Linked DNA regions of Mus musculus: regions 1 and 2 are each reported to be linked to region 3. The links are microRNA targets in miRTarBase. Many come from high-throughput screens and were not tested one by one. Region 3 holds a microRNA gene; each other region holds the end of a gene's coding sequence.
The links. The annotated mature microRNA mmu-miR-30d-5p reads UGUAAACAUCCCCGACUGGAAG and lies in region 3 at 4,399-4,420, shown strand. An mRNA with a match to its seed (bases 2 to 7 or 8) in the 3' UTR can be bound and repressed. Matches are read on the target gene's strand: a 7mer-m8 pairs with bases 2 to 8, a 7mer-A1 pairs with bases 2 to 7 and ends in A, and an 8mer does both.

Region 1: the mRNA of Amer1 is a reported target of mmu-miR-30d-5p. Seed matches in the 3' UTR shown: 8mer at 4,534-4,541 and 8mer at 5,771-5,778.
Region 2: miRTarBase lists Hoxb3 as a target of mmu-miR-30d-5p. Seed matches in the 3' UTR shown: 7mer-A1 at 7,262-7,268.

Annotation. Positions count from the first base shown.
Region 1 is chrX:95,416,550-95,427,317 of GRCm38, reverse strand. Amer1 (APC membrane recruitment 1) reads left to right here. Exons shown (of 2, transcript NM_175179.4): 2 at 1-7,005. The coding sequence ends at 2,206. Among named protein-coding and RNA genes, the nearest start is that of Amer1, 23 kb to the left of the region's middle.
Region 2 is chr11:96,343,902-96,354,669 of GRCm38, reverse strand. It overlaps Hoxb3 (homeobox B3), which reads right to left. Exons shown (of 4, transcript NM_001079869.1): 3 at 9,974-10,570; 4 at 6,740-9,124. The coding sequence starts at 10,421. The coding sequence ends at 8,271. It overlaps Hoxb2 (homeobox B2), which reads right to left and starts at 3,038. Exons shown (of 2, transcript NM_134032.2): 1 at 2,475-3,038; 2 at 654-1,720. The coding sequence starts at 2,859. The coding sequence ends at 1,041. It overlaps Hoxb3os (homeobox B3 and homeobox B2, opposite strand), which reads left to right and starts at 1,276. Exons shown (of 4, transcript NR_155303.1): 1 at 1,276-1,610; 2 at 6,282-6,376; 3 at 7,781-7,843.
Region 3 is chr15:68,334,909-68,345,676 of GRCm38, reverse strand. Mir30d (microRNA 30d) reads left to right here and starts at 4,388; the gene lies at 4,388-4,469. Mir30b (microRNA 30b) reads left to right here and starts at 8,167; the gene lies at 8,167-8,262.

The DNA.
Region 1 (10,768 bases), not on the chromosome of region 3:
AGAAGAAGAAGAAGAAGAAGAAGAAGAAGAAGAATTATTAGAGGATGAAGAGGAGGTTAAGGATGGAGAGGAAAATGATGACTTAGAGTATCTGTGGGCAAGTGCCCAGATATACCCAAGATTTAATATGAATCTGGGCTACCATACTGCTATATCTCCCAGCCACCAGGGCTACATGCTTCTTGACCCAGTTCAGTCTTATCCTAATCTAGGCCTTGGAGAACTTTTGACACCTCAGAGCGACCAGCAAGAGTCTGCTCCCAATAGTGATGAAGGTTATTATGACTCTACCACACCAGGATTTGAGGATGATTCAGGTGAGGCTCTGGGACTTGCCCACAGGGATTGTCTACCCAGGGACAGCTATAGTGGTGATGCGCTATATGAGTTCTATGAGCCAGATGACAGTCTTGAGCACTCCCCACCTGGGGATGACTGCCTATATGACCTCCGTGGACGCAACTCAGAGATGTTGGATCCTTTCTTGAACTTGGAGCCCTTTTCTTCTCGGCCACCTGGGGCAATGGAAACCGAGGAAGAACGGCTAGTGACCATCCAGAAGCAGTTGCTATACTGGGAACTTCGCCGGGAGCAGCGTGAGGCTCAAGAGGCATGTGCCAGAGAGGCTCATGCCAGAGAAGCTTATGCCCGAGACACCCATACTCGGGAATCTTATGGCAGAAATGTCCGAGCCCGAGAAACTCAGGCCTTAGAGGCTCATTCTCAAGAGGGTCGAGTCCAAGAGACCAAGGTACGGCAGGAGAAGCCTGCCTTGGAGTATCAGATGAGGCCCTTAGGTCCCTCAGTGATGGGTCTGGTGGCAGGGACATCAGGAGGTTCTCAGACTTCTCACCGGGGAACCACTTCAGCTTTCCCTGCTACTTCTAGCAGTGAGCCAGACTGGAGGGATTTCCGTCCTCTGGAGAAGCGTTTTGAGGGGACTTGTTCCAAAAAAGATCAAAGTACTTGTTTAATGCAGCTCTTCCAGAGTGATGCCATGTTTGAGCCAGACATGCAAGAAGCAAATTTTGGAGGCTCACCCAGGAAGGCGTACCCTAGTTACTCACCCCCTGAGGAGCCAGAGGAAGAAGAAGAGGAGAAGGAAGGGAATGCCACTGTGAGTTTCTCACAGGCCCTAGTAGAGTTCACCAGCAATGGAAACCTTTTTACCAGCATGTCCTACAGCTCTGATTCTGACTCATCCTTCACTCAAAACCTCCCTGAGCTGCCCCCCATGGTCACCTTTGATATTGCTGACGTGGAACGAGATGGAGAAGGCAAGTGTGAAGAGAATCCTGAGTTCAACAATGACGAAGATCTTACAGCCTCCTTGGAAGCTTTTGAGCTGGGTTATTACCACAAACATGCCTTCAACAGCTATCACAGTCGGTTCTACCAAGGCCTGCCCTGGGGAGTTAGCAGCCTCCCTCGATACTTAGGACTCCCCGGAGTCCACCCTCGACCTCCTCCTGCTGCAATGGCACTCAATAGGAGAAGCCGTTCCCTTGACAATGCAGAGTCTCTGGAGCTGGAGCTCTCCAGTTCTCACCTAGCCCAGGGTTACATGGAGTCTGATGAGCTCCAGGCCCACCAGGAAGATTCAGATGAAGAAGGTGAAGAAGAGGAAGGAGAATGGGGTCGGGATAGTCCCTTGTCTCTCTACACTGAACCTCCAGGGGTCTATGACTGGCCTCCCTGGGCTCACTGTCCTCTTCCAGTGGGGCCAGGTCTTGCTTGGATGAGCCCTAATCAGTTGTATGAGCCTTTCAATCAGTCTTCCTATGTGCAGGCAACCTGTTGTGTACCTCCTGTGGCAATGCCAGTGTCAGTGCCAGGAAGAACACCTGGAGACTCTGTGTCTCAGCTAGCTCGACCTTCGCACCTACCCCTGCCCATGGGCCCTTGCTATAACCTTCAATCACAGGCCTCCCAGAGTGGGAGGGCCAAGCCTCGGGATGTACTGCTGCCTGTAGATGAGCCCAGTTGCTCTTCCATTTCTGGAGCCAACTCTCAGTCTCAAGCCAAGCCTGTAGGTATCACCCATGGTATCCCTCAGCTGCCCAGGGTGCGGCCTGAACCCTTCCAGCTTCAACCCAATCACTATCGAGCTTCCAACCTTGACCTGTCAAAGGAGAGGGGTGAGCAAGGTGCCTCTCTCTCTACCAGCTACTCCTCTACTGCCATGAATGGAAACCTAGCCAAGTAGTTATCAATTCCAGAATGGAGACCTGAGCATGTGAATTGGGGGTCAAGGGTTGGGCAGAGGGGTAGGGGTGAGTAGTGCTGTTCCACTTGAAAATCTTATTGGCTAAGATAAACTCCTCTGAGTTTTCACTTTGCCCACCTTCCTCTGCCATCTTTGGCCAGGTTCAGCTCAATTATATCTGCCTAGGGAGGCTGCTGCTTCTGTGCTCCAATTTTTGCTTTGGAGTTTCTTGTGACCTATACAGGGCTTGGGATGCATCCTTATTGCAGGCTGAACCCCTCTTCTCTGGTCCCTTGCTGACTAATGAACCACTGATGAGCAGCCAATTTTTTGCACTGACTCTCACCCAGAGATGGGAGGCTTGCTAGCTATTAGCAATATAAAGTTATGGTACATAGCCTTCCTAACCCCATTCCTTTCTAGCACATCAAATGACTATAACCTATTTATCCCAGTTAGTTATGTTTAGAGTGGGTCAAGTAGCATGTGTCTCGCTCCCTGTTGCTGTGGACTTTGGTATCACAACTAGATGATGTCCTTTTAACCTGGCCTGCCATAGTCTAGATTGAAGACAAAAACACTAATCCTCATAAGGGGGTGATTAAATCTGTCCATATTCAAGCAGAATACAAAGATAGATAGCTTATGGAAAATGCTGTGAGGTCTTGAGCTGTGGAATAATAATATATCTATCTTGTTTGTTTCCTAAGCCTGTGGCTGTTGCAGGCATTTTAGAACTTCCCCCTTTTCCTGTCCCTGAAAAATTTCATCTCATCACAATGAATGTAGTATCTTAACTGAGTTAAAGGAAGAGAAGCCACCTAAATTGGGCTTGACTATATAGAGCATTGGGTGTTGTGAGATGCAAAAGAGGAAAACAGACAGGGTGATCCATTTATCTAAACACCAAGAAGGGATCTCAGACTTTGGAACTTGAAGCAACTCAGATTAGGAGGGAAAACTTTTCCCATCCTTTCTCCCAAACCAAAAGTAAATAAATAAATAAACCCTTGGCCGCCCCTTTGTAAAGTGGTTCCAAGCTTGTCTAAGACAGGATGCCAAAGGCATCTCACCTGTTGTAGGCACACTAAAAAGCTTTTATCTTCCAGTTAGCCAAGTTCTTAGCATTTTCAAAGGACCAGGCTTCTTGAGAGGAAAGATTGTAATGTACCCTTGCTCTGCCAAACTACAGGGCTGATTTGCATGGCAGTTGCAGTCCTTTCTGAAATGAACAGCACCCTCTCTTCTCTTGCATCCATGCAGGTTTCTTTTTCTTTTTTCTATATTTTTTTTCTGGACAAGGTCCCACACTGTAGTTCTCTCTAGCCTGGAACTTACCATGTAGACCACGATGGCTTCTAACTAACAGAGATCCACCTGCCTCTGCCTCCAAGCAAGCCCAGCCTAAATGTTGGAAACACTAGGGAAGAGCTTGGTGTCAGGAAAACATTGCAACAGGCTCATCTTGACCAGGTTCAACATTTCCTTAATCATCTATATGAAACAGTTTCTTTAAAATTCTCCATCAGGCCCGGTGTGGAGGTATGTGCCTTTTATCTCAACACTCAGAAGGAAGAGGCAATTGGAGTTATATGAGTGTGAGACCAGCCTGTTCTACATAGTGAGTTCTAGGCCACTAGGGCTACATAGCAAGATAGACCTTGTTTTAAATTTTTTTCTGTATTGGAATATGAAATATTTTGGGGATCGATATGTTGATCAAAGTTAGAACTTTTTAAATCTTCTGCCCATGTCCCTCTTCTCACCTCAAAGCCATCTTCACATCTACTAAGTGAAGATATCAATAGGGCTCTTGCTCAAAATAAGGCAATTTACCTTGAGAACAGATGCTGGTGGCCTTCTGAGTCAAGATTGCTTTGTAGACATACTTTCTTTGCCAGGGCATATATTCATAATATTTTTCACAGTTTCTAAGCTTGGGATTGGCCCTGTGCCTTTCCCCCAAAAGAGCAGATTTGATTGGTAAAATCTAACCCCTTGTAAGTAACTTCATAACTTTGCATGGCACCAGCACTAGAACCACCCCTCAAGGACCTCAGATCAGCTCTCTTGGATGACTTTGGCTACATCACGAAGAAGTGCATCTCTTGTGGATCTGGATAATGAAAGTGAAAAAGGCCTTCCTTACCCCAACCACATCGTCATAAGAGACACATGCCCAGATTTTAACCACTTGGCCTCCTACCAAAGCTGTTCTGGGAAGGTGAGGCTGAACTTAGCCTGGTTGGGTGGCAGGAAGTAAGCACTCAATGCCTTTACAACAGGAAAAGCCACACCTCTTGCCTAGTCAAGGTAGCTTGAGTTGCTGTTTACATGTCGCTGCCATCTACAGCAGGCACTAGAGCTGTCCACAGCCTCCATAGCCCACTGGAGAAGGGCTACCAGCCTGTTTGGAAGAGGAAGAAGGAATCTACCCTCACAGTTCAGGAGGACAGCACAGTGCAATATCTCTGAAGGGACCTGCTATAACTTGGATATATTTTGCTATGCTTTGAAACTTCATACCTTAGAGTAGGACCTGAGGCAAAGTAGAAGTTTGTGGATTGGGTAACATCATTGCCTTCCAAGTCCTTTCACTGATCTGGCTGCTAGCCTAGGGACAAAATATTTACAACCTAAAATGGGATAGCCAAGATGTCTACAGAAGCAGACTCCTTTTGAGTATCTAAAGCAAATACTAACTGCAGCCTAGAAGGGGAAAGAAGATTTGGCTGCGGATATATGGTAATGGCAACATGATTACCAATGGGATATGTAACCAATCTCTAGGTATCTGTCCAAACATGGACAAGTACTTCCTTTGCTGGCACCAAATATGCTACAAACTACCAGAAGTGCTGCTATTGTGTTCACCCTAAGGCTGTGGCCAGATGAACCTCCTGACTCCATTGCAGGTCCTTGGACAATGCATTTGGATGTGACTTTAAGGGAAGATGTGCTGACAGAAGGAGGCTAGCTTTATGTTGTTACCCAGTACTACTATATAGTGTCAGCTCTGATCCTGAGAATTTCTTAGTAACCCAGTCCATAGAGGACCAGTGACTGTGGGTATGGAAAGCCACCTAGCAGGCCTCTTCCAAAGCCAGGATGCCAATTTCTTGGTGCTTTAGATTCTCCAAGGAAGCTCTGCCTTGGGGATCATCTGGCTTTAGCTTAGATACCAGACCACAAGCCTCGTGGATAATGGTTTCAGTAAATGCCAGTGTCCCTCCTCTTAGTGCTATTTCAAGGAGGGAAGTAGCTTTCCACACTCAGAATGTTGGGTGCATGATTTCATCCTGCCACCAGTGGCTTTTTCACCTGCACCAGTGCCACCACTGCCTTCAGCCCTTAGGCTCACTTGCTAGAGGGAGGCATGGGGGTTTACCAGGGATACTTCAAGTTTACCCATGTGTATGTTGCATCCAAGTTGTTTTTAATATATATATATAAATATATATATCAAAAGCTAATTATCTATTTTTATATTGTTTGCATTTTATATTCATGGAAACAATGTTTATCAATTGTTCTTTTCTGATATATTTTATTTTTAAGCGGTGCTGTTTACAGTTTTAAACAAAAAAAAAAGATGACACAAAAAATGCTGCTGCTCGTGCAGAGGGATGTCATCTCAAAGTGTCTAGGACCCTCCCTCTTTTCCCTCTCCCACCTGGCTGTGTCACACTATTCATTCTCTTTCCACACGGTAAGGACAGAAGATGCCCATGTACCGAAGACCAATACCAGGTAACGCAAGCATGTGGACCCTGGCAGACAGCATGTTTTCTAGCTTTCATTTTATTTACCTTTTGAGCCCTTCCTTCTCTTGTGTAGACGTTTTGAAAGTACTCCTGCCTCTTGACTTTTATTCTTTTCCTTTCTTTATATTTTGTGCTTGTTTTTTGCAAAGTATCATGCCCATATTGTGTGGTTTGTTGTATTAAGTTTCTCCAATGGAGCATTAGGGGCTCATTCAACACCAGGAGACTCGGGATGACAGATGACAATGCTATTTCAACCTCCAGGAATTGGTCATCTCCTTGGGAGACACCCTTGAATGAGACTTGCCAGCAATTTAGAAGATGGCAACATTGTCCAGAAAAGGCATTAGGTGATTCCTTGGTCCCTCTTGCTACTTTGGGAGAATCTCTCCACATCCTGCCTCCTCCTTCCCTTCCCTGTTCCAGCTCACAAGTGGATGGTACTTTTGGAAACTGAACTCTTGTTGTTTTGTTTTTTTATTGTAAGTCTTAGCCCTTAATGGCTGAGTTGTCTCTTTAACCAGGATGGCACTTTTAGGAATGGTGACTGTTACAGTCATGGCTGGGTGGCCTGATCCACGGTTTCTCCATCCTGTAGTCATTCCAAAGAAGAAAATCCACATGGCATGTACATTTGTGAGGGTTGGGTCTATTAAGAGGGGGCTTTAATTATTCCTGTTACTATTGGTGCTTATTTTCCCCGCTGTATATGGGGGTGGGGAAGGGCTGGGGTAAACCAGAAATGTATATTTAGGTCACGTTAAATAAAATGGCTGGGGGAAGAAGAAAGATATGAGTCTAGGTGTAAGAGTTCTCTCTTCCAGGACAGAAAGGGGATTGTAGCTTGTTGCTGCACCTGAGCTTCCCTTCCGCATTCCTGAGACATCATGGAATCATCTGCATTTGTTACCTCTCCATCCCTAGCACTCACTGGCATCTGGATATCCTGATACACTGCCTGTATGTTACAACATATATTTCATTTGCTGAATGCTAATAAACTTCTGTGCTCATGAGGGACCTCCAGTCACTAAAGTGTTTTCTTGTTGTTTGTTCTACAACAGCATTCATGTGATCTATGGGTGATGGATTTTCTCTTAAAGGAAAATTGAAAAAAAACAAAAAACCTCATGGTATTAAGGGAGTCATTCTATAGGCAAAACAAGCCAAAGCTGAAACGGAAATTAGAGGAAACTTCCATATTTCATTCAACTTGTGCCATGTATCTTAGTCAGTCTTGTCACACCATCTACACTCTAAGACCTGTTCCTGAAGTTTCTGTACATTTTCAGGGACTAATTTGCACTTCTGCAGTCAGTCACAGGATGTGCTAACCCTCCACCAAAAAGGAGCACAATGGAAAAGATCCCTGGGTTCCCTTTTCAAACCAGAAAAGAGACTAAGTGACCCCAGGATCTCATGAATCCAGGAAAGTCAGAAGGAAATTAGAAGATAGAGAATCTCATCAGAGGGGAATTGGCATTTTACAGAAAATGAGATCTGTGTCTGTGCTGCTCAGTTAGGGAATGGTAGGTTTTGATTGCCAAGGGGTGTGTGTGTGTGTGTGTGTGTGTCTGTGTGTGTGTGTGTGTGTGTGTGTATGTATGTAGCAAAAGCATTGCTGAAGTCTACCTAGTCTGATCGCATTCATTGGAAATTAACTGGAATTAAGATATCAAAGTGGCCCAGGCCTCTTCACTAAGTTTTTGTGCCTTAATCAATTGATCATCAATAATTTCCTTAAATGCAAATTAAAATATTAGGCTATGTATGAGTAACCTAGATGACTTTTTGTTTAATTTTGTGACTAAGTAAAAGACTTGGCTTTCCTGGAGCTCACTGTATAGATCAGGCTGACCTCTACTCAAGATGTACCTGAGGCTATCCTCGTAGTGCTAAGATTAAAGACATACAACACCACAGCCAGCATCCTATAGGATTCTTTTCAACTAAGTTGAACCTTTTCCCCCACACCAGAAATTCAATTGGCCTGAAGTAGGATTCTGCTACTATTTGTATTGCCCATATGACTGGTATAGTAGACCTACTAGACAAAATAGGTGGAAAACATGCTTCTGTTTTTGGCTGTGGTCCCTTAGGAAGTCTTTTCAAATGAAAGCATAATTGTGGAGGGAATCTGCTAAAAAACATATACACACACACATGCACAATTTGAGAATTTCATACATATAGCCTGTAATTTGATTATATTCACTTGTAGCTCATCTATCTCAACTCCTCCCAAATCAGGTAACTCTCATTTTAGTCCATTCCATGCTGTTCTGTGGTTTGAGACCCAGCTTTTTACCTGCATAGCAAGGTGCCTTTCTTCTGTTTTCCTTTAGAGCAAAAATAAACAATAGGTAAGGACTCATAATAGATAGGGAAAGCTGTTAACTTCCCACTGCTCTACCCACAAGGAGGGATCTTGGTCCTACTGACTGTCCATTCCTCTGAATAAATCCTAAGTTTTAGCTACACTACAAACTTTCTACAAGTTAAACTCAGCCAGAAAAATCAAGTAACTCAAGGGCAACAATTTCTAGTTTAAAATCTCTTTTCCGGAGCCCCGGGCTACCTTGCCAGCAGAGTCTTGCCCAACACCCGCAAGGGTCCACACGGGACTCCCCACGGGACCCTAAGACCTCTGGTGAGTGGATCACAGTGCCTGCCCCAATCCAATCGCGCGGAACTTGAGACTGCGGTACATAGGGAAGCAGGCTACCCGGGCCTGATCTGGGGCACAAGTCCCTTCCGCTCGACTCGAGACTCGAGCCCCGGGCTACCTTGACAGCAGAGTCTTGCCCAACACCCGCAAGGGCCCACACGGGACTCCCCACGGGACCCTAAGACCTCTGGTGAGTGGAACACAGCGCCTACCCCAATCCAATCGCGTGGAACTTGAGACTGCGGTACATAGGGAAGCAGGCTACCCGGGCTTGATCTGGGGCACAAACCCCTTCCACTCCACTCGAGCCCCGGCTACCTTGCCAGCTGAGTCGCCTGACACCCGCAAGGGCCCACACAGGATTCCACACGTGATCCTAAGACCTCTAGTGAGTGGAACACAACTTCTGCCAGGAGTCTGGTTCGAACACCAGATATCTGGGTACCTGCCTTGCAAGAAGAGAGCTTGCCTGCAGAGAATACTCTGCCCACTGAAACTAAGGAGAGTGCTACCCTCCAGGTCTGCTCATAGAGGCTAACAGAGTCACCTGAAGAACAAGCTCTTAACAGTGACAACTAAAACAGCTAGCTTCAGAGATTACCAGATGGCGAAAGGCAAACGTAAGAATCCTACTAACAGAAATCAAGACCACTCACCATCATCAGAACGCAGCACTTCCACCTTACCTAGTCCTGGGCACCCCAACACAACCGAAAATCTAGACCCAGATTTAAAAACATTTCTCATGATGATGATAGAGGACATCAAGAAGGACTTTCATAAGTCACTTAAAGATTTACAGGAGAGCACTGCTAAAGAGTTACAGGCTCTTAAAGAAAAGCAGGAAACCACAGCCAAACAGGTGATGGAAATGAACAAAACCATACTAGAACTAAAAGGGGAAGTAGACACAATAAAGAAAACCCAAAGTGAGGCAACGCTGGAGATAGAAACCCTAGGAAAGAGATCTGGAACCATAGATGCGAGCATCAGCAACAGAATACAAGAAATGGAAGAGAGAATCTCAGGTGCAGAAGATTCCAGAGAGAACATCGACACAACAGTCAAAGAAAATACAAAATGCAAAAGGATCCTAACTCAAAACATCCAGGTAATCCAGGACACAATGAGAAGACCAAACCTACGGATAATAGGAATTGATGAGAATGAAGATTTTCAACTTAAAGGGCCAGCTAATATCTTCAACAAAATAATAGAAGAAAACTTCCCAAACATAAAAAAAGAGATGCCCATGATCATACAAGAAGCATACAGAACTCCAAATAGACTGGACCAGAAAAGAAATTCCTCCCGACACATAATAATCAGAACAACAAATGCACTAAATAAAGATAGAATATTAAAAGCAGTAAGGGAGAAAGGTCAAGTAACATATAAAGGAAGGCCTATCAGAATTACACCAGACTTTTCACCAGAGACTATGAAAGCCAGAAGAGCCTGGACAGATGTTATACAGACACTAAGAGAACACAAATGCCAGCCCAGGCTACTATACCCGGCCAAACTCTCAATTACCATAGATGGAGAAACCAAAGTATTCCACGACAAAACCAAGTTCACACAATATCTTTCCACGAATCCAGCCCTTCAAAGGATAATAACAGAAAAGAAGCAATACAAGGACGGAAATCACGCCCTAGAACAACCAAGAAAGTAATCATTCAACAAACCAAAAAGAAGACAGCCACAAGAACAGAATGCCAACTCTAACAACAAAAATAAAAGGGAGCAACAATTACTTTTCCTTAATATCTCTTAATATCAATGGACTCAATTCCCCAATAAAAAGACATAGACTAACAGACTGGCTACACAAACAGGACCCAACATTCTGCTGCTTACAGGAAACCCATCTCAGGGAAAAAGACAGACACTACCTCAGAGTGAAAGGCTGGAAAACAATTTTCCAAGCAAATGGACTGAAGAAACAAGCTGGAGTAGCCATTTTAATATCGGATAAAATCGACTTCCAACCCAAAGTTATCAAAAAAGACAAGGAGGGACACTTCATACTCATCAAAGGTAAAATCCTCCAAGAGGAACTCTCAATTCTGAATATCTACGCACCAAATGCAAGGGCAGCCACATTCATTAGAGACACTTTAGTAA
Region 2 (10,768 bases), not on the chromosome of region 3:
GTCGCCCGGCCCAGCGCCATTTTGAGCATCGTTCCTATTTCCCGCGCTCTCTGCCGCTCGCCGTGCTACTTCTGTGAGCCAAAAGCCTCTTGCCACGCCCGGGCCTCCCTTCTTCCCTACAAAATTCCTAAGCCCCATTCTAGTCCTCAAGGACCTGGAGCCCCAAGGCAGCATCGGGCGCACAGCGCAGGCCTCGGCCTAAGCTTGCAGACTCAAAGCCCGCAGGCTAGCAAACCCAAGGATTTCTCCTTCAACTCTTTTAACCCTCTGCGCAGCCTCCAAGGCTCAAAGCTGGCCTCTGAGACATTTTCTTGTACCCGCTTCTGCACCCCCCCCCCCAGAACGCTGTTTTTCCACCCACCCCACATTTATTTCCAAGCAGGGACCCAGGGAACATCTTAGCAGGACTGGAAACGGTCTGTTTGCAGATGAACCAAGCTTCCATAAACTCTTCCTGGTGTCTTGGACAAAGAAATAGTCACCAAGCAGGGCCCCTTTTGTACCACCCGGACTTTGTCAGCCTGGGAGATGGGACCATGCCTTCCCTTGGGTCGCTTGAGCCAGAGCTAAACCAACTTCAAGCGGAGAGTGGGAAAGCAAAGACTGGCCGTAGGGACTTGGCAAAAAGAGCTAGATCCCAACACAAACACTCGTTTTCATATTATAAAGACATTTATTTACGCTATGAAAATAATGTACAATAAATACTTTCCCCCTTTCCTATTATTAAACAATTTTAATAAATAATCTACAATCTAAAACTTAAAAAAGAGGAAAATAGGTCCCTCTAGTTCTTTGTAAGAAAACCCTCTCCCACTAGAGTTTAATTATTCCTGAGATTTCGTTGGAAGGAGTTTTACCAAGTGGAATTTTTTGTGTGTGGTTTTAAAAAGCGAAAAGGAGTGAATGAAACGCTAATTCGTTACTATCTGGATTTTAACAAAACGGCATAAATGTATCCACGAGTGGAGAAGGCCCGATTCCCCCCGCCCCCAACAGCCAAGGAGGACCAGACGGAAAGGACCAAAGATGGAAAACAGTTAGGGAAACTGCAAGTCGATGGCACAGAGCGTGCTGGTGAAGAAGTCCAGCTCTTCCTCGGAAAAGGGCACGGGGCTATCGAGAGAACCCTGCAGGCTGGGTGAAAGGCCTCCGGACATCTGGAGACAGGAGTCTGCAGCGAAGAAATTGAGGTCCGGTAGAAAAGGCGAATCCTGCCGCTCGGGGCAGGCGTCTTCGGGTAGGGGCTCGCTCTGCCGGCCTCCGGCTCTGAGCATTGTGCAGCCGGGGCTCGATGCGCCCACACTCTCCAGGGTGGTGGCAGGCAGCGCTGACGGCGGTGCGCCCCGGGGTCCCTGCGCGGCCTCGGCGGGGTGGAAGCAGGCTTCCCGCAGCCGGTGAGTCGCGACGTCGCCCGGGCTGACCGTGGGTTCCTCGGCTGGCTCTCCCGCGTCGTCCTGGGCGCTCGGCCCGCCTGGTTCTCCCTCGGGCGGCTCTCGATGCTGCGTCTGCCGCTTGTGTTTCATGCGTCGGTTCTGGAACCAGACTTTGACCTGCCTTTCGGTGAGGTCCAGCAAGGCAGCGATCTCGACGCGACGCGGCCGGCACAGGTACTTATTGAAGTGGAACTCCTTCTCCAGCTCCAGCAGTTGCGTGTTGGTGTAGGCCGTGCGCAGTCTGCGGGAGCCGCTGCCGCCGCATTCTGGCAATCCGGGGCCATCTGCGAGGGAAGCACCCCTATGTTATCAGAGAGGTCTCAACGCAGCCTCCGTTTAGCTGAGATCGGGAGCACCCCTTTGGCTTAAAAGACTCTCAGCAGTCCTACTCGGGCTCCCACCCCACCCCCACAGCGCTTCTTTCTGTGTCTTTGGGGTTTTTTTTAGTGCTCTTCCACGTAGGCAGACCCGGCCCGGGTCAAGTCGGTGCCTTCAGAGCCGCCCACGGGCCACGTAGGGGGCGGGGAGCAATTTCTCTTAGCTCCCAGGACCTCAGAGTCTCCCTCCCCCAAGTCCTCCCAATGGACCCCTCAATTCAGAACTTTCCAACTCAACCTGGGGAGAGAGGGATCATAGATTGTTCTTCACCCCTTTCCTTCCTAGCTTTTGAATTCCCTCTTCTTCCCTAGCTTTAGGAGAGCTAGAGGCATCGCATCTTTTCCAGGCTCCAGATTCAATCCCAGACACGCTTCATTCCTCTACACAGAAACCGGGGAAACCCTTCAATCGAATCATTTTTTTCTAAGCACATTTAAAAAAAAAAAAAAAAAAAAAGCATCCTCCCCACCCTCAATCAGCTTCCAAAATTTTCTGGGGGTGGGGAAGCTAACAGTGGCTAGGCCTGAACCCCAGCGGGATACTCTGCTTCCCTCGCCCCAGATCCGTCGACCTAGGGAACCCCACCAGGAGCCCCATCACCTCACATTCTCCCCTTCTCTTCCAACTGCCCCTCACCCCGCCCCTAATACGTTTACCCACCTGATGGTGATCCGACCTCGGAGGCCCGGACCGAGGAGGCGGCTGGAGAAGGGGATGCGGCGGATTGGCTGGGTTTCTTGGTGGATTTCTTCTCTTTCATCCAGGGGAACTCGGGGGCTGGGGGGGCAACGGGGAGTGGCGGCGGTGACCGCAGAGCAGGCCCATCTCCGGCTTGCTTTTGGCTCCCTGGTCTCTGAAGGGTGGAGGCGCCGAGCTGGAGGCTGGGGAAGGTTTGCTCCAGAGGAGGAGGAGGAGGAATTAATGTCGACTCCTTGATTGATGAAGTTTGAAATGTCTCCAAGACAGCGGGGAAGGAAGTCAGACACTCGGCGAGCGATGGCTGGCTGTTTATAAACCCAATCTCCCTCTCAAATTCAAAATTCATGGCTTTCAATGGTGGGGGAGGGGGCCTGCTGGGGGGGGCGTCAGGAGGGAGAATCAGAGGGACCCCCCTCTCCCGCCCCCCCCAGGTTTATGCAATGGAGCAATTTCGCGGGGGGGGGGAGATTTCGCTCTCTCTCTTTTTTTTTTAAATTTAGGCCTTTATAATTGTATATTGCTGATAAATACAAGCGTATGGGGACTCTCTCTATTAAACCCAGGACTCCGCCGAAATTGCAGGGAATTCATGGTCACGGGACCGGTCTCCGCCAATCGCTAGTCTAGGCCTAGTGGAAAACACAGGCATTATTTGCTTTAATTGATTCAAAAACTCCAGAGGACCACGACCTGGATACCATGAGGCTTCCTCCTCTACCCCTGTTCCTTCATCAGTACCCTACACTCTCCCTAATGGCTCTCTTTTCCCAGAAAAGCCAAAAGAACCTCTTCCTTCCCTTCAGAGACTGTGTGGTGGTGGCAAACAACCACATTTAAGGGAGAAATGGAGTGAGTTAATATGCTTTCTTTATGTGGCCCTCAGTAGCCTCTTACCCTACCACCACCTCAGCCCCCAAAAGAAAAGAAAAAAAAATCTCATTTAGGGGGAAGTGGGAGTAGAAAGAGGCTTCCATACCTTGGGGGAAATCAGAAAGGAGATGGATAAAGGACAGCACTAAACACCAGCAGCAGCGGCAGCCCACCCACCCTCAGAAAGCAGTAGTTCACACTTAAGAAATGCACAGAGCTGGCACGCAGCAGGGACATAGATTCCAGGAGCACTTTGGGACATGGGCCTACCTCCCTTGCTATGTGCCCTGGATTCTAGTCTCTGCTCAGAATTTACAAGCAGTTTCTTATGTCCACTTGCCTTCCTGTTGGGGTCATCTGTACTCACACTGTGACACCCCAACCCTGGCAATAGGAGGGTCTAAGAAGGTCTAAGGTGACAGATGTATTCACAGGCCCCCAGGTGTATCTGTGTCTCTATCCAGGGCACCAAAGTAGCCATCCACTTAACTTTCAAAGCTAAAGTCAGTGCACAGTCGCCCTCTGGACAAAGGGATTTCCCCCTCTGTATTTGCCTTTGGGCTACTTTTAAAATCCCTGGTAAGAAAACATTTCCTAAAGATGGTGGGGGAGAGGGGGCTGGGGATAATGACCACCACTGAGATTATATTCTGCTTTGGGCCTCCAGAGAGAAAAAAAAATGTAATGTATTCTATGGTGAGGCACCTATGATGGGCTCAATTTTAGAATATTGTGATTTACTAGAGGAAGGAGGCAAAAAACAACAAAAAAAAAAAAAAAAAAAAAAAAAACCAAAAACAAAAAAACCTCAGAGCCACAAGCAAATTGGTGGGAAACTAGGCCTCAAAGCTGAAAATGAAAAGTCGGCTGGGGGAAGATTTTTAAATAAGTGGGTCAGAGGGACCAAGAGGAGATGAGGCGATCAATCTTAGCCCCCTGACAGCTCCCTCCGATTGCATCAAAGAATTTGGCTCTTTGGGAAAGCAGAGGGAACAACCTAAATTGCATATCCCTTAAAAAGGCCTGAGGGAGGGGGGAGCCAAAGAGAAAGGTGATTCTGGGAGATCTAGGAAACAGATGGGAAATGGGGACAGAGGGAAGGCGCTAACTTGGGTGGAAAGTTTGCCCCGGAGAACTCCCACGGCTCTGGCCTCCCCTCCCCCTCCTCGCTCTCTGTCGCCTAGCCTAGAGGAGAAGGCTGCTTAGCAGAGAAATGGCAACTCAGCGGAGAGCTGGAACTAGAAACTTTCTGTCAGTGTAACGTCCGCGTGGGTGGTGGTGAGTATTTAAAGAAAGAAAGAAAAGAAAAAGGCAGAGAAGTTTGCCGGGAAGCGGGAGGGGGGGGGAAGGAGGGAAACCTGGAGGTGGTGGTTGCAAGGACAGAAAGAGGCAGGCTCTTGGGAAACTGCTCTTAACTAGGCCAGCGGCCAGAGAGGGTGTTGTGTACCTTAGCTAAAACAAAACAATGTATGCATATATTTTCCTGGATGGTGGTTAGCAGAGGAGAATCCAAATAGTAACTGTCTGGAAGGGAGTCCTGTACAGTAAGGCCTGGGAGAGGGCCTTCTCCCCGGCAGCATGGGCACTTCCACAAGTTTTGTAACAGGCACTCCAGCTGGCTGCAGCATCCAAGGATCTCCTAAGACAACCAGAGCCCAGACTGTCCTGTAGGAAATACAGCTCTCTAACCCTTGATGACAGATTTTATGGCCAGATTAGTGAACAGTAGAAAACTTGGGTGTTAAAGTGGGGATCCAAGAAAACCCTCCAACCCTCCCTCCCTTCCAGAGACATCCGTCCAGCCCTGTCTGCTACCTTACAGAGCAGATTTTTATCCATGTTTTTAAACAGCTTTAGACCTAGAATCTGGAAAACAGAAGGGTAGGTCCTATTTTTGTTTAGAGCCCTAGCTCCAAGCCACAATATATCAATATAGCTAGCTAAATTCTCTCTTATCTGGTTCCTCTTCAGCTAGATAAATAAGCAATCCACCCTTCCCCTCACAGTCAAACATGACCCTTCTCATAGTTATATCATTCAGAAATGGTATTCAGGGAAGAGGAAGAGAAAAGGAAAGACAGACCCTTGAGCGTTATTTGATCCCAATCAAACATTGCACGCTCCTCTGCCTTTAATTTATAGCCTGGCCCAATGCTAAATTGCTTGCTGCCCAGATGAGCCAAGTCCAGTTAAAAAAATTCTACTTGGTGGGGAGGGGGCGTATTATTCAGGTTGTTTTTTTATTGTTATTTATTGTTGCATAAAGACTGTAATTACTAACCTTGGACTGCCAGGATACAACATAAAAATGAAAATCAGCCCTCGCTTTAAGGCTGAGGGCCTGGAAAGATTCTTATATCCCCACCCCCCCCACCCCGTATCACCACTACCACCAAATATATGCTCCTAATTAAGCAATGCGGGTTCATCGCTTACAATTAGAATTATGTAACTCTTCAGCGGGCAGCCATCGCTTCTCTTTCAACGAATTAGCTCCATATTTCAGCCTCCCCTGTCTCCTCGCTCTTGCTCTTATCATCGGATACCGCTATGCGGTGGTGACATTTCATCTTTGACAGACCCTCTCCATCCTCGCTCCAATGTGATAAAACTTTTATGGAACCAGGACTAAGAAATGAAGTTTTCCCAAGCATCGTGGAAACAGAGCCTCACGTTAGCCTGGGGACCATTTTATTTAAGCTTGGTTTCTACAGCTTCCTCTCGCCCCCTTCTCTTCCTTGGCAGGAGAAATCTAACCAGTCCTCCTCTTCCTCTGCCCTGGGCTTCATTTAATGATTAGATTTCGCTTTAGTTTTAAGGCTTGACCTGAGAAGTCTAGGCCTCGGCTTGTTGTCCCCCCCCCCCAAGATTAATCATTTTCCTTTGTTTTCATTTTAGACCCAATGATGGTTGGGCTTCGGGTCACGTGACAGCCTCATTGTAGCTCCGGAAGAGAACGTGAAGTTTAGGTTGCCTGGAAGAAGCAGTAATAAGCTAGGTTTGGGGTTGCCTGGATGTAAACAGAGGGGGTGCCTGGAGGTGCTGGTCAAAGGGACAAAAGAGGCCAGTGACTAAGAAAAACAGACAGGCAAAGAGCAGACTTAGCCCAAGATTCCCTCCCCTCCCTCCCGCCCCCCAAGCTTGTTGCTTAAACCTTAGCTGAAGAACTTGGCAGAATGGTCCAGACTGGTACAAATGTCAAAAACTGAGTTGAAAGCAGGAAACACTAGGAAGGGGAGACAGCGACCTGAGCAGTGAGCAAAGAGCCTGGGGAGTGTCACCAATGCCCTCCTGCTAGGGGACATTTGGCCACTAGAGCCTTTTTCTGCACCCTGAACTGGACCACCATGACAAGATAAAATTAATAACAGAAAGTTTATTCAAGAATTGTTTTGACAGACAACTCTTTTAACTAAGGGGGAAAAAAATAACTACGGAAGAACAAAGAAAGTTCCAAGAGAGAATTAACTTCTTATCTCTACAAATTCGGGACTATACAGTGACATTTAGGAGCTGAGTTCATGCCTTTTAGAACTAATTACAATTCCTCATATGTACGAGTTTAACATAAATCTACAGCTCTTGTCTAGAATACAATAAAAACTAAAATAGCTGGTTTTACATGACAGGAAACACAACAACCTTTATAACAAGTAAATACTAAAAAAGTACATTTTTCTTTTTTTTTTTTGTCCCTCATATAAATACATAATGTAGGGGGATAAATAATACAAAAAAGAAAATATTTTAACAGGCTATAACCAATAAATATATATGAAAATGTTCACTAGAACACACGCTTTTTGAGCGAAGCTGGACTTTCTGCAGGCCCAGACATCTCTCACAGTTGTTTTTTTTTTTTTTAATATCCATTAAAATGTAAACTCCAAGTGCAACAAGACTGTCCTGTCAGGAACTGGAGCAAGGTCCACAGGTCCAGCTGCAGCACCTGCCAGGACAGACAGTTTGTTCAAATATACCCTGTTTTCACGTTAAGTCAAGAGAAGAACAGAAGTAAAAAGAAAGTGGAGGGAGTGGGATGGGGTGGGAGCTGAGAGACTGGAGAATGGGCAAGCCTCCAGTCCTGACAACTTGCCTGCCTTAGCCTCTTAACTTTTCTTTAAAAGAAAAAAAATATATATTTATTTATATTATAGGCAGCTCTGACTTTCAGGATATCTTACCATCCCTGAGCCCTCTGAAAATTGTAATCAATAGGGGTGGGGTGTAGATATGAATGTCCTTAGAGCAGAAAACCAACCGTAGGGCCATAGTAAATGATAGATATAGTAAGAAGCCTAACAGATGGGGGATGGGGGGAGTTGAAGCTTCAGGGAAGTAGGAGAGAAACATACTTTGTGCCCTTCGATTTAAATGTATTTTCTTATTTTTCACAGGGAGACTGAAAGGGAGAACAAAAAAAATCAAGATTTTGGGGAAATTACCCACAGAGATGCAAGGTAAGTTGATTGCTTGCTGATAGCCAAGCCATTAAGTGTTGAATGTGCTTCTCTGCCCTGCTTGCCTGTCTTGGCTCCCTCTACCCGACTCCACGTCACCTCTCCAATCTGAAATTCCCACTTGGTAGTGCTGGAACCCTGGGAACCCTGGGATTGATGTGGTCCCGTCTCCAACCTGCTGTGGATTCCTTTCCAAGGGTTGTTGGCAGACAGATGGAACCAGGCATGGAGGACTTAAAAGACAGCCCCTGGGGGCGGGGAGGGGGCCTGGGAGCTGGGAAGGCACCCCAGGCCTGTTCTGTTTCTGGAAACCTGGCGACAACCCCATCCCACACCTCTTTCAGGACTCTAAACCGCGCCCATCCCCCAAGTCCGCCGTCTCCCTGGCCCTTAACCTCACCCCTCCCTCCCCAGCCCGCCCCTCCCATCACAGGTGTGTCAGTTTGGGCGCTTCTTGGATTCTACCCTGAGGCGGTGCGTGGTGAGAGGAGAGGTCTGTGTACGTGGGGTGAGGGTCACAGGGTCCATGATGCTGGTTGGGGCCCATAGGGGCCGCCCCGTTGTAGTCCAGGTTCCCCGAGGGGTGGTGGGAAAGGTGATTGAGGCCGTAGAGGGAGGGGCCGGCAGGGGGCGGCAGCGGATCCGCGTAGCCACCCCCGCCCACATACACCGGACTGCCCTGCATGGTGGGCGTCCCGTAGGCGCCCCCGTTAGCTTGGAGGACGTGGGGCTCATACTCCGACGCCGGGGTCGGGGGGTACTTCTGTGGGGCGCCGCAACCCTTAAGAGGGGGCTGGTAGTTGGAAGGCAGCGCGTAGGCATTCTGGTGGCCTTTGCCGAAAGCTGGTGGGGACGGGCTGTCGTAGCTGGGGGTCATGGAGTGTAAGGCGTTCATGAAGCCGGCCGTGGACTGCATGGGCTGCGGGGGGCTTCCGGCCGGAGAGGGACCCCCAGAGGACGAGGCCAGCCCCTTGGCCTTCTGGTCTTTCTTGTACTTCATGCGACGGTTCTGGAACCAGATCTTGATCTGGCGCTCGCTGAGGTTCAGCAGATTGGCCATCTCGACCCGGCGCGGCCGGCACAAATAACGGTTGAAGTGGAACTCCTTCTCCAGCTCCACCAGCTGCGCGCTTGTGTACGCCGTGCGCGCCCGCTTGGACGCGGCCGACCCCGGGGGGCTCTTGTCCCCTCCCCCGCCGCCGCCGCCGCCCCCGCCGCTGCTGCCGCCGCCACCGCCGCCGCCGCCGCCACCACCGCCGCCGCCACCACCACAACCTTCTGCTGGACCCGAGGGGGGAGGGGTGGGAAGGGGAGAAAATGAAATAAAAGATAATTACTGAACACGCCGAAATTGAATGCATCGTTTCTTAATAAATCCAGGCCTGGACTCGGAGGCCCCGCTGCCCTCCCCTTCGCGTCCCCACCTCCTCTACACCACCACCCCCCCCCTTCCTACCTCCCGTCGCATTAGCGGACACTCTATAATAGTGGCATTTATTAAGAGACCTGTTCTCCTTTCACGGCCCCAGCTTATGAAAATTTGATCATGTCAAACAGACAGAGCTGCGTGGCCATTTATTTAGGGCTAGGATTTTGCGTGTGCGCGCACCCTCCCCGTATATCCAAATCCAAGTCTGAGGTGATTCCTCCCTTCTGTCCGCCCTCTTTACAAGACAAGTGACTGAGAACACCTTGGGAGGGGGGCGGGGGGGGGGAGACTGGACACTGGTGGGCAGGGCCTGGATGTGTGGCACATAGAGGCTCGGGTGGCTGCAGGCCGGGACCCCAGGCTGCCTGAGCGATGGTGATTAATACCTACAATAATCATACTTAATAATAATCTATCCTTGATGACTCTGTGCCTCCAGGCGGTGCGGCCTTGGGAAGGGCTGTAAAGCCAACCATCCCACCTCCTGGAAACTCTTGGAAGCCCAGATGGAGGATGGTTGGATGGACTGGGTGTTGGTCAGGTCAGAGGTCATCAGGTAGTGAGAGGTAGCTAAAAAGCACTAGGCAGCCATCTAATATTGTCTCCAGGCCGCCTTGTGGGCGCCTTGGGGTCGGATGCTATAATAACAGTGAAATTCCTGGGTTGGACAAAAGCTGACTAGGAAGGCAGAGAGCTGGTACCTGTGCCGGGGGAGCTGTTTTTCAGCTTGGACGTTTGCCTCGACTCTTTCATCCAGGGGAATATCTGTTTGGTGAGGGTGGAGTTGGAGCCGGCACCGCACTTGGGGGGGCCGCTTTTGCTGGGCCCACCCCCGTTATTGCTGTTGCTAGTGGTACTGGTAGGTGCGGCGCTGGGTGGGGGTGAGCCCGGAGGTGCGGGCAGGGGCTCTGGGGCCAGGCCTGGCCTCATGCAGCTGCCATTGAGCTCCTTGCTCTTGGCATGTGGGGCGGCGTTGCCCAGGGACTGCAGAGAACACGCTGAGCGCTGGTAGTCACCCTCCAGGTGCGTGGCGGCCTGAAAGGGGGGCTGGGGAGGCCCGTCGTAGCCGAAACCATTGCTGCCAGGGTACGAGGAGTAGCCTCCGAAGAGCGCAGCTGCGGTGTTGTCGTAGTAGGTGGCTTTCTGCATCGCTGGGCGAGGCCCGGGCAGTGGGTGGCAACTTGCAAGGGCCTGATACCCTCACGACCGGACATTGGCACCCCTGGGGGTCACGTGACACGCCGGACCCCCCTCCCCTTTCTGCCCCCCTCCTCTCGGGTCTGTTCCAAGCGGCTGACCTGCGGGGCGAGAGAAGAGACAGAGGGGAGAAGAGGACTGGGCCTCGAATCCATCTTAGGAACTAAAAAGGGAACTGACATCAATAGTTTTTTTTTTTTCTTCTTCTCCCCTCGCCAGTATCTCTGCAGCAGACGCTGAGACCAAGTATCTAACCTGACTTGGATGCTTCACACTTCAACTTTAATTTTAACGGGAAA
Region 3 (10,768 bases):
ACAGCAGAAATTCAGAAAACAACATAAGGGAGTGCTGCTGCAATTAGGGAGGGACCATAGCCTCCTTCTAAGCCTGTGTCTTTCAAGAGCTTAGAATTTTCTATAAAACTTAAACATTAGCTCTTGACCTGGTGTGTTTTATTTTAGCTCTTAAGTCTGTTTTGTAAAGTTTTAATCAAAAGGAAAGATACTTCCTGTCTTCCATACAAAGAATGTTCACATTTGTATTTTTTAGAGCCCATTTCCGTACTCCAGAGTCTGCCTTTTTTGAAATAATATCTTTTATCTACAAAAGACTTTCTGAATTTAAGTATCCATAAGACCAAAATCTGTAAATATGGCATACATTGTTGAGAATATTAGTTGATTCCTGACAACTATATTACATCTGCACAAAATATTAATGACAGCCATTTTTGACAGTCTAATATGGCAGGTGATCTGACATTATCCTTCCCTGGGGTCATGTGAGGATAAAGCTGTTATTCATCTTTCTCTTTCTCTTTCTCTTTTAGGAAGAAGAGAGCTAGAGTTTTAGAATTTTAACTGAGAAAATTAGACTCAAGTTACTAGTCTAAAATATGATGAACACAAATTATATGACTGTCACTCCCTTATTTCATGTGGAAAAGGTGTGGAACGGTGGATGTACTTTCTACAAAGGGTAAATAAGGTAGACAAAGGGAAGACTTGATGTTTAAGGCACCTCCTTCCATACTACACTTGAAAGTGCCAGGTTGTAGAAGAGCTCTGTGCAATAACTAATCATCCTTCTCAGTTAACAGTACAGGTGGCACAGCGGTGGTACAGGAACAGACTCTGGAACCAGGCTCTGTGGGCGGGCTCTGCACAGGTGCCTTTTATTTACAAAAATAGGATGATGCAATTCCTGTCATAGTGTTGGGGATTGAGCAAGTTAATGTATATGAACCAGTAAGTATACAAAGAGTACAGATTATTACTCTTTTTTTTTAATGGATACATGTCTGTTATTTTTCAAGTTGCTGGTTGTAGTGATGTTTTTGTAAACAATTTGACATTTGAACTAGATCTTGAAAGACTTTTAAAAAGTGAAATACAAACAATTCAAAATTATAAGAGCCACATGAATAAAGTAAAGGATGATTTTTATTTCCATTTATTTTATACTGGCCATTTACCTGCCATTGAGCTTTACATTATGTTAGTCATTTCTGGCAATAACTCAGTAAGATAGGTACCTTAAGGGATTTTACAAATGGTAAAAGAGTCACAGAAAAATAGTCATTTTCCCAAAGTCCCAAAGTTAAATGTTCGGCCTAGTTCTGTCAAATTGTAAAGCTCGGGTGGATTCTTAATTACTATCTATAGAGCACTGCCTTCTGAGAACAGACTTTCAGAAGATCGCCCCGAGAGTCTCTGGTTGTGGCTTTGGTAGTCATTTTAGGAAGCCAAGAGAGACATACAACACAGGCCTGTCTTTTCTGAGAACATTGTTGTTCTGCAATTCTGTCAGCTAAGAGTGCTTGTGTATGAACTGGAGTAAGCGTGCTTTGGTTATTGAAGCTTGTACTATTTTCCTTGCTAGAAATGATACAAATTTCCCATTGATATACTGATTGACACCATAGACTTCCCAGTTACCCCTTGTATTGCTGGAAATGGTTCTCTGTGAGTGCCCTTTGCAGCTCCTACATCAAAGAGATGTCTACAGTTGTAGTCCCAGTCTTCAAGCATCATGCTATCATTTAGTGAAGTTTGTTTAAAATGTACTTAGGATAGTCTTCATTTTGCTGCTATTTATTCCTTACTTGTCACGTCTTCTTGTTTTGAAACTACTGGTGAATTGATGATCACTTAGATTTTTTTTTTTTCCCCATCCAAACACCATCCTGGCCTTAACAGAACTTAAAAAAAAAAAAAAAAAAAAAAAAAAAAGCCCCTTCTCCTCTCCTCTTCTAGTAAGTACAGTTATTTCTCTTCCATCCAGTGCCTTACAGCCCTTTCTTTAATGTCATTATTTCTCATAATTCTGAAGTTGAGAAGTTGTGACTCAAAGACCAGTATCTGGTAAAACTTCACAGTGTATCCTCTGATGGCAGAGTAAAGAACAGAGGTGCAGAGAGGTAGTGGGCAGCATATAGTGGGGAGATGGGATGGATTTATACTGTATCAAGGATCCTTCTCCACATAATTCACCCATTTCCTATGTGTTAGCATTACTCTGTTCATTAAGGAAAGACCCTGTAGTTATTTGTCACCCCTTATAGACCTCACCATTATTACCTCTAGCGGTTTTCAAACACATTAACTTTGAGAGGCATATAGAAACCATAACAGTTTCTTATAACAATTGTTTTGGGCTGGAGAGATGGCTCAGCAGTTAAAAGCACTGACTGCTCTTCCAGAGTCTTGAGTTCAAATCCCAGCAACCACATGGTGTCTCACAACCATCTGTAATGAGATCTGATGCCCTCTTCTGGGGTGTCTGAAGACAGCTACAGTGTACTTACATATAATAAATAAATAAATCTTTAAAAAACAAACATAAAACAATGGTGTTGAAAATATCTTCATTATGGATTGTTACATGTTAGTTCTATTAAGGTATCTAAATTATTTTCTACATTGTACAAGAGAAGTTGTGGCAAATGTGGTATAGTATATATCTATGTGAGCATTTTGACAAATTGACTTTATGAAAACCTACAGTTTGATGCACAGCAATACTGTTCCACTAAACATTTTTGTTTGGACATGCATGCCTGTATGTTTTTCTATTTTTGCAAAGTATTGGTAAATGGAAAAGTAACGTGCTACTACTTCTGACATTAAGAAGAGTAATGCACTGTTAGTCAGAGGAGCCCAAGGCCCCCAAGCAATACACCCAGTCACCACTGCTGTTGGTTACCTGCCAGAAATGCTGAAGATACCACATGCCTTGGTCATAGGACTTAGAGAAAATAGTTTGGAACTTGGCTGGAAACTTATTGCTGGCTAGCCTCCATAGTGCTGGGAGGTACTACACAGGCTGATGGGAGAAGCTTATCAACATTCATACTCAGCTATGAATCCTGTGTACAACAGTAGCAGCTAACTAGGGAAAATGAGCCTACTTATGTAATAGTGGCAAATCTGTTATGGGAGTAATCAATTGCTTTCTGATTGGATTTGGTTGATGCCTATTGTATAGGAGGCAATTCACATACAGTTCTGTAAACCTGGTCAAAAGATTTTTGTTGGAAGGTCCTACTGGGACAGTTACTGCTGTTGTGCTAAATGAACATGAGATGCAGCAAAATGTCTTCTAAATAACTGTTTATTTACATAAAATGGTGCTACTATAATAAGCTTTGGTCAGATAAACTTCTTTCAGCATTTTATAAAGATGGCATTGCGACAAAAATCCCTTCATAACTCTAAAGAAAAGATTATCTGGCAAACTCTTCTTAATTGTTTATAAAATATAAACTAAAGACAAAGGGAAAAGTTGTTTAAAGAAAGTTGTAATAATGTACTTGGGTACACCAGTACACCAATGTTACAGGGCATTTTCAGTGGTTAGAATCTTTTACTTTGTAGTATGTATTTAGGAAGTTTGTAATGTTTTAGATTTGCATTAGCTTGTTGAATGTTTATTCTTGTGTGGTGTAGATGCTTGTGTATGACTGTATTTCTTAGAAATCACTGGCTTTTTGTAAACTTAATTGCTTCAATAGACTTTAATTTTTTAAGTTAATTTATATGTCTCAGATTAAAGTTAATCTATAAAGTACAAATTTACTATTATCACTTAATCTTTCTTTTCTCTTTCAGGAAACTAATAGAAGAAACAAAAGCAAAATGTTTCGGTGTTGTTTTGTAAGCAAAGCCAAGGCGGGTATTGTTCCTCTTCTTACCCACTTAGTTCATTTCCATGGCCCACATTCCTAACCTAGTTCAGCTAAGGATAGGGAGGAAGATATTAGAATCTTTCTCAGCATAGAGTTACTGCCAGCAAAACTTGTGTCTAAATTAAGACAGTTTGGTTAATGAGAAACTTCAATTCTAATAGTACTATCACTTAGGACTGTCTGGGAAAACTGAGATGTATGGTCAATCTACTTTTTAGATTGTTATTTATTATTAATTTTGAAATTCTGGATTTGTGGAGAAGAAAGAAAACATATACATCTGGTAGAAAAATGTGTCCATGTGGAGTAACATAGAAAAGTTTGTATTGAATCTTTTCTAATTAGATAATTCAAGAGACATTACTATCTTCCCTTATTAACTAGTATTGTTTACTTTATTGTTTGTCTTTTCCCCCCAAGATGTCACAGTTGTCATTCAGCTCCGCAGTTGTGAAAGTCGGTAGCGGAAGCAATGACTGACCATTTGCTCTGTTCCTTTGTAGCTTGCTGTCAGAAAGTCTGTGTCTGTAAACATCCCCGACTGGAAGCTGTAAGCCACAGCCAAGCTTTCAGTCAGATGTTTGCTGCTACTGGCTCTTCGAATGCATCTTTTGGACAATCTGGCCTAAGGATTGGAGCTGAGGATGCTGAGAAATGCCTGGGATGCATCAGAAATCTTGAGGAGCATTCATTTACTGCTTGCTTCTGCTGGCAGCTTCTAATGTTGGGAGCTGACTAAACATGCTTCTTCTGGCCTTAGAGGATCTGTCTAAAACAAGTTTTAATACTGTTTTTGCCGTGTCAGTACAAGTTTATCCTTTATACCTTTTTCAAATAGGCTAGAGTTTAACTTCCTAACAATCCTGAAAACCAACTTTCTTCCCTATAAACTCTGTAGGTTATTCATGTCTACCACCCACCCAGCAGTCTACAACCTAGGAATTTCAGGTTTCCCTGTACTTAATTTGTATGTAAATGTTTGCTTCCTCCTCCTGTGATGAAACTAATCTTAATCAGAGCGTTCTTCTCAGTCTGGAAATCCCAAACCACTAGACCTCTTCACAACATCTGCTAATGGTTCTGTATGCCCTTGTGGATTAAACTAAGCTACCTGATAGCTTTAGGTTATTGCTTGGCTCCCAGCTGCCTTGGGAGTAGTTGTATTGTTTTCCATTTTTATTTCTCTCCACAATACTAAATAATCTAGGCTTTCTATCATAGACAAAAATTATTGTGAACCAGTGTAATTTCATAACTTACTGAGGTTTTTGATTGATTGGGTTTGGTTTTTGGTTTTGGTTGTTTTTTTTTTTTTTTTTAACTTTTACAATGTTTTCTCACTTACATTTTTCTTTGGGTTACTATTAGCTTTATTTCTTAAGACGTTTGTTTGCTTGTTTGTTTGTTTATTTGTTTGTTTGAGAGAGGGTTTCACTGTGTAGCTCTAGTTGGCCTGTAACTCCTAGAGATCCACCAGCTTTCTAGAGATCCACCAGCTTTCTGCCCGCTTAATGCTGGCATTAAAGGTACACACCACTATACCCAGCAGACATTATTTTCGTTACTATTAAGCTGAGTTAGGTTCAGTTTAGACTTAAAACAGAAGATACAGTTCCTGCCAATCTGATTTCTTATATGCTTCTCCTGGATTAGATTGTAGCCTTTCTGGAGACATGGATATTATGTCTTTATAATTCTGCGTTTTATACCATATGTATAAAATGTGTATATTGATATACAGTACTCTAATAATGATTTTATTCTAATAGTATATTTCCATTTACTTGTTTATTGGTGCTGGAGTTTGAACCTAGTGTTCTTGAACATGCTAAGCAAGCGACCTACTGCTGAGTTGCATTTCCAGTTTTTATTATGGATCCATTTAAGTACTACTTTGTTAGAAAGGTAGTGTGCAAGACTAATTTAAGAGAAGAGCTTGGTTGATCATTTTTGGACAGAGATATTGCTAGGAGCCCATAAAGTTCTCTGTGCCAAGGTAGAGTGTGATGTGTCTTCTGTTAATAGAATTATTTTGTTTGGCCAGGTGGCATTGGTTATTTTCCATAAAACCTTGATGTGTAAGTTAAAATTCAATGGCATGGATAAAAACTACATGGTTTACTTATTTAAAAATTATTTGAAGTGTTTTTTTAAATGGTAAGTCAAATCTAAGCTAAAAGAGGAGGAGTCATTATGCACAAAGCTACCATCCTCTGCTTACCTAGTCTAGTTATCCCTGGATGCTTCAGGGTTAATGCTAGTCTAGTGTGAAACATTTGTTGTGTATTATTCTGCCCTAATGAAAGAAAATCAGAGACCATGTCCGCTTGCGTCCTCAATGTTCTTGGTTCTATGTATTTAAGTACAGCCTTTTCGTCATCTGCAGATGACTTATTTATGTTTTAACTTAAAAACACCACAAACTTCATGTTGGCCTGCACCATTGACAGTTGAATGTTGAGCCATGAAAATTGGGTTGTCTTTCTTTTCCAATAAACTTAAAACAGATTGTTTTCTTGGCCTTTAACTTAGGTTTTCAGGAGAAAATGTGTAAATTTTGGTACAGTTTTAAAAATCTCAGAAATTTATTTACTATTGTATGTTTGTTTATTTTGGTCCAACGAATACTAAATGTCGAGGTAGTTCTCAGCCATTGTACAAATGATATTATTCCTCAGTGTATGATTTAGGAGTTAATTTTTAAGCAGACAACTATAAGTATATAAAGTCTGAGTTAATACATTCTACAAATCTATTTCAGAAATATTCATAGAAAAAAGATACATTTTGGTTGAGTCCTCATTGTCTCCATGGTCTCAAGTCTCTCTCTGCACAACAATAGTCTTGGTGTAGTTGAGAAAGGACCATAAACCTCTAACCCAGAACATATTCACTGTTGCATTAGCAGGGTCCAACTTGGATTTTGTTACAACTGCATTCATTGGATTACTGTTCTGATATTTATTGTGCATGCTAAGTTTTTGAAAAACAGGTTTAGTTTTATTTCCTGAGTTTATGCACCTTTTAAACTTATTCTGTCTTAGATTGTTTGCCTAGGCTGGTTGGCGAGGGTGAACTGTAAGGTACAGGTTTTGAGCTTGTCAACTTTTGTCAGTAGTACATTATGCACACCCTGATTATTGGACAGTCACTGCTGCCAGTGCTTTAGCTTCCCAATGTACTTAGGAAAAACAGCTTTCAAATACTACTGTGCATCACAATTACAGTGAGCTTACTAAAACACAGACTGCAGGACCCCAAAAAGAGTTCCATCCCTAGTAAGTCTGGGATAGAGCTTAGGAATCTGCTTTATTTCCTAAGTTTCTATTGTTGCTCTAGAACTAAAATCCAGAGCACTCAAATTATAGGTGTGTGTCACCATGCCAAACCCTAAAGTTTGATTGCAAAAAAGGACTGGCCCACCCCAAAGAATTAAATGTGTCTACAAAAAACAGCAGGAAATCAGACAAGCAAACTGTAATTGTAGTGAAAACAGGAAAAAGCAACATGTTTAAAGGGGAGAAAGGAGTTGGAGGTGGGGATAGATTAGTTTTGAGAATGCTGCTCCAGGAAAACAGGAGATTCCTGAGGTGATGGCGTATCTTTGAAATGCCAGGAAGTTTTAGTTTGCTGACAGTGTTATATGTAATTTTATTTCCTAATTTAAGGACTTCTTCCCTGATGAAAGTATTCCAAGAGTAACTTTTAATGTTTAGTAAAGGAATTTGGTGATTTTTTTTTTTAATTAAATCAGGAACACAGAAAGGGGTAGATGTCCTTGTGCTACCCCTTGCTACCATGTTTTAAATAATGGCCCATGGTAGAGATATGGGAAAGCCATGCCTGTGGTGCAAGGACCTGGGTGTTAAGGAAGAATAGGGGATTGGTACACCGTATTGCCCATCAAATGGGCTCCTATAAATGGAGGTGCAGTTGTTTAGAGAGAGGGAAAGGGTGGAGAAAGTTGAATGCTGTCAGAACAGTAAGTTGCCTTTAGGTGGGAAAAGCTATAGAATTCCTGTGTTCTTGCCATACGTGTGTGTGTGTGTGTGTGTGTGTGTGTGAGAGAGAGAGAGAGAGAGAGAGAGAGAGAGAGAGAGAGCATGAAAGAGAGAACGATAAATGTTTGCTGTTTCTGTGGATTCTATACTTACTCTGAAGATATCTTTCAAGTTGATTTTGTCCTCATGTAGATCACTGTGCCTAATTTTTTTTTCAACAGATTCTGCAAAATTGTCTGAGCCTCAAGTAAAAAACCAAGTATAAACATAGTAAAGAGTTCTCAAGTCTCTCTCTAAGCCAAGTTTCAGTTCATGTAAACATCCTACACTCAGCTGTCATACATGCGTTGGCTGGGATGTGGATGTTTACGTCAGCTGTCTTGGAGTATCCACCAGTTAACATATTGATACATGACTTAAGTGGCATTACAGGAGTATATCACCATGCCCAGCTAAAGGGCACTTATTATAAATACTGTTTATATTTAGGTTTTCAGTAAATACTTGCTGTACTATTTAAAATAGATACTTGTTTATCTTAATATAGATGATACCAATATTTTGATTCAGAAGTAGTGTAAATCTTACATATCACTGTAATTTGTTGCTAAATAGCCTTAAGCCTAGCTTCAGGTTCTATAATAATTAAGGAAAGTATTAATTTTCCTGGTCTCCACTTCTTTGTCAGCTGAATTGCATTGTCATAGTACCTGACAGGATTGTTGATGAAGTGAGTCGATGTCAGTTGAATGTTCTTGACATACGGTAGTTATCATTATTGTTACTATTTTAAGATTTTTTAATCCATTACCCTTTTCACAGACCTGATTGGTCTAACTGCTACTTTTATATTTGTACCAGGCAGACAGGTTGATCAATGTAATAGAATTGAAGACTCAGAAATAAAACCACACACTTATGGACACTTGATATTTGAAAAAGAAGCCAAAAAATATACAGTGGAAAAAAGAAAGCATCTTCAATAAATGGTACTGGTCTAACTGGCAGTTAGTATGTAGAAAAATGAAAATAGATCCATATTTGTCACCTGGCACAAAGCTCAAGTCCAAGTGGATCAAGGACCTCAACATAAAACCAGATTCACTGACTCTAATAGAAAAGAAAGTGGGAAAGAGCCTCAAGCTCATTGGCACTGGGCTGGGGAGGTGGGGGTGGGTATTTCCTAAATAGAACTCCAATGGCTCAGACTCTAAGATCAAGAATTAATAAATGGAACGTCATGAAACTTCTCAGCTTCTGTAAGGCAAAGGATGTAGTCAGTTAATCAAATTGGCAACCTATAGATTGAGGAAAAAAATCTTCACTAACACCACATCCCATAGAGGCCTAATATCCAAAATATAGAAAGAACTCAAGAAGCAAAAACCCAAACAACCGAATCAAAAAATGGGGTATAGAGAGAGCTAAACAGAGAATTCACAACAGAAAAATCTCGAATGGCCAAGAAGTACTTTTAAAAATGTTCAAAGTCCTTAGTCATCAGGGAAATGCAAATCAAATGACCCTGAGATTATTTACACTAATCATAATGGCTAAGACCAAAAACTCAGGTGACAGCTCATGTTGGCAAGGATGTGGAGAAAGAGGAACAATCCTCCATTGCTGGTGGAATTGCAAACTGGTACAACCATTTTGAATATCAATCTGGAGGTTTCTCAGAAAATTGGAAATAGATCTTTCTGAATACCCAGCTATACCACTCTTGGGCTTATACCCAAAAGGTGCCCCACTATACCACATGGGCACTTGCTCCACTATGTTCATAGCAACCTTATCTGTGATAGCTAGAAGCTGGAAACAACCCAGATGCACCACAACTGAAGAATGGATACAGAAAATGTGGGTCATTTACACAATTGAATATTATTTAGCTATTAGCAAGGACATCATGAGTTTTGCAGGTAAATGTATAGAACTAGAAAATACTCTGACTGAGAGAACCTAGACCCCAAAGGACATGCATGATATGTACTCACTAATAAGTGGATATTAGCCAAAAAAAAGTACAGAATACCCAGAATACAATCCATAGAGAAGGTTAACAAGCAGAAGGGCCCATGAGGACACTCACTTGGGAGGGAGAAGAAAGCCATCAAGGGAAGCAAAGGGAGGGAGGAGGGATCTGGGGAGGGGAGGGGAAAGGGGGAACATGATCAGATATAGGGGTGGTAGAAACAGGAGAGAAGCCCTGAGGGCCAGCAGAATAAATGGAGATATGCAACCTTGAGGGGGGGAGTGGGGGGGGGAACCCTCTAGAAAGTAGCAGAGACCTGGGAGGTGAGATACTCTCAGAACTTAAAAGGAGGGACCTTAGATGAAATGTCCAACAGTGGGGAGAGGGAACTTGTAGAGTCTACCTCTAGTAGAAAGACAGGGCATCAAGTGAAGGGATGGGGTTGCCATCTCACAGTCAAAAACTCTGACCCAGAATTCTTCCTGTCTAAAAGAACTGCAGGGACAAAAATGGAGAAGAGACTGAGTGAAAGGTGGTCCAGTGACCAGCCCAACTTGGGCTCCACCTCAAGGCGAGGTTCCAAGACCTGACACTATTACTGATGCTATGGTGTGCTCACAGACAAGAGCCTAGCATGGCTGTCCTCTGAGGCCCAAGAAGCAGCTGATTGAGACAGAAGCAAATACTTACCCAACCAATGGACTGTGATTGAATTAGGGAAAGGCTGGAAGAAGCTGAGGAGGGCGACTCCATAGGAAGACAGCAGTCTCAATTAACCCAGACCCCTGAGATCTCTCAGACACTGAGCCACCAATAAGGCAGCATACAGTAGCTGGTCTGAGGCCCCCCCAACCCATAAAGCAGTCGGGCCTCAGTGGGAGAAGACTGGCCTAACCTGGAGAGACTTGAGGCTCCAAGAA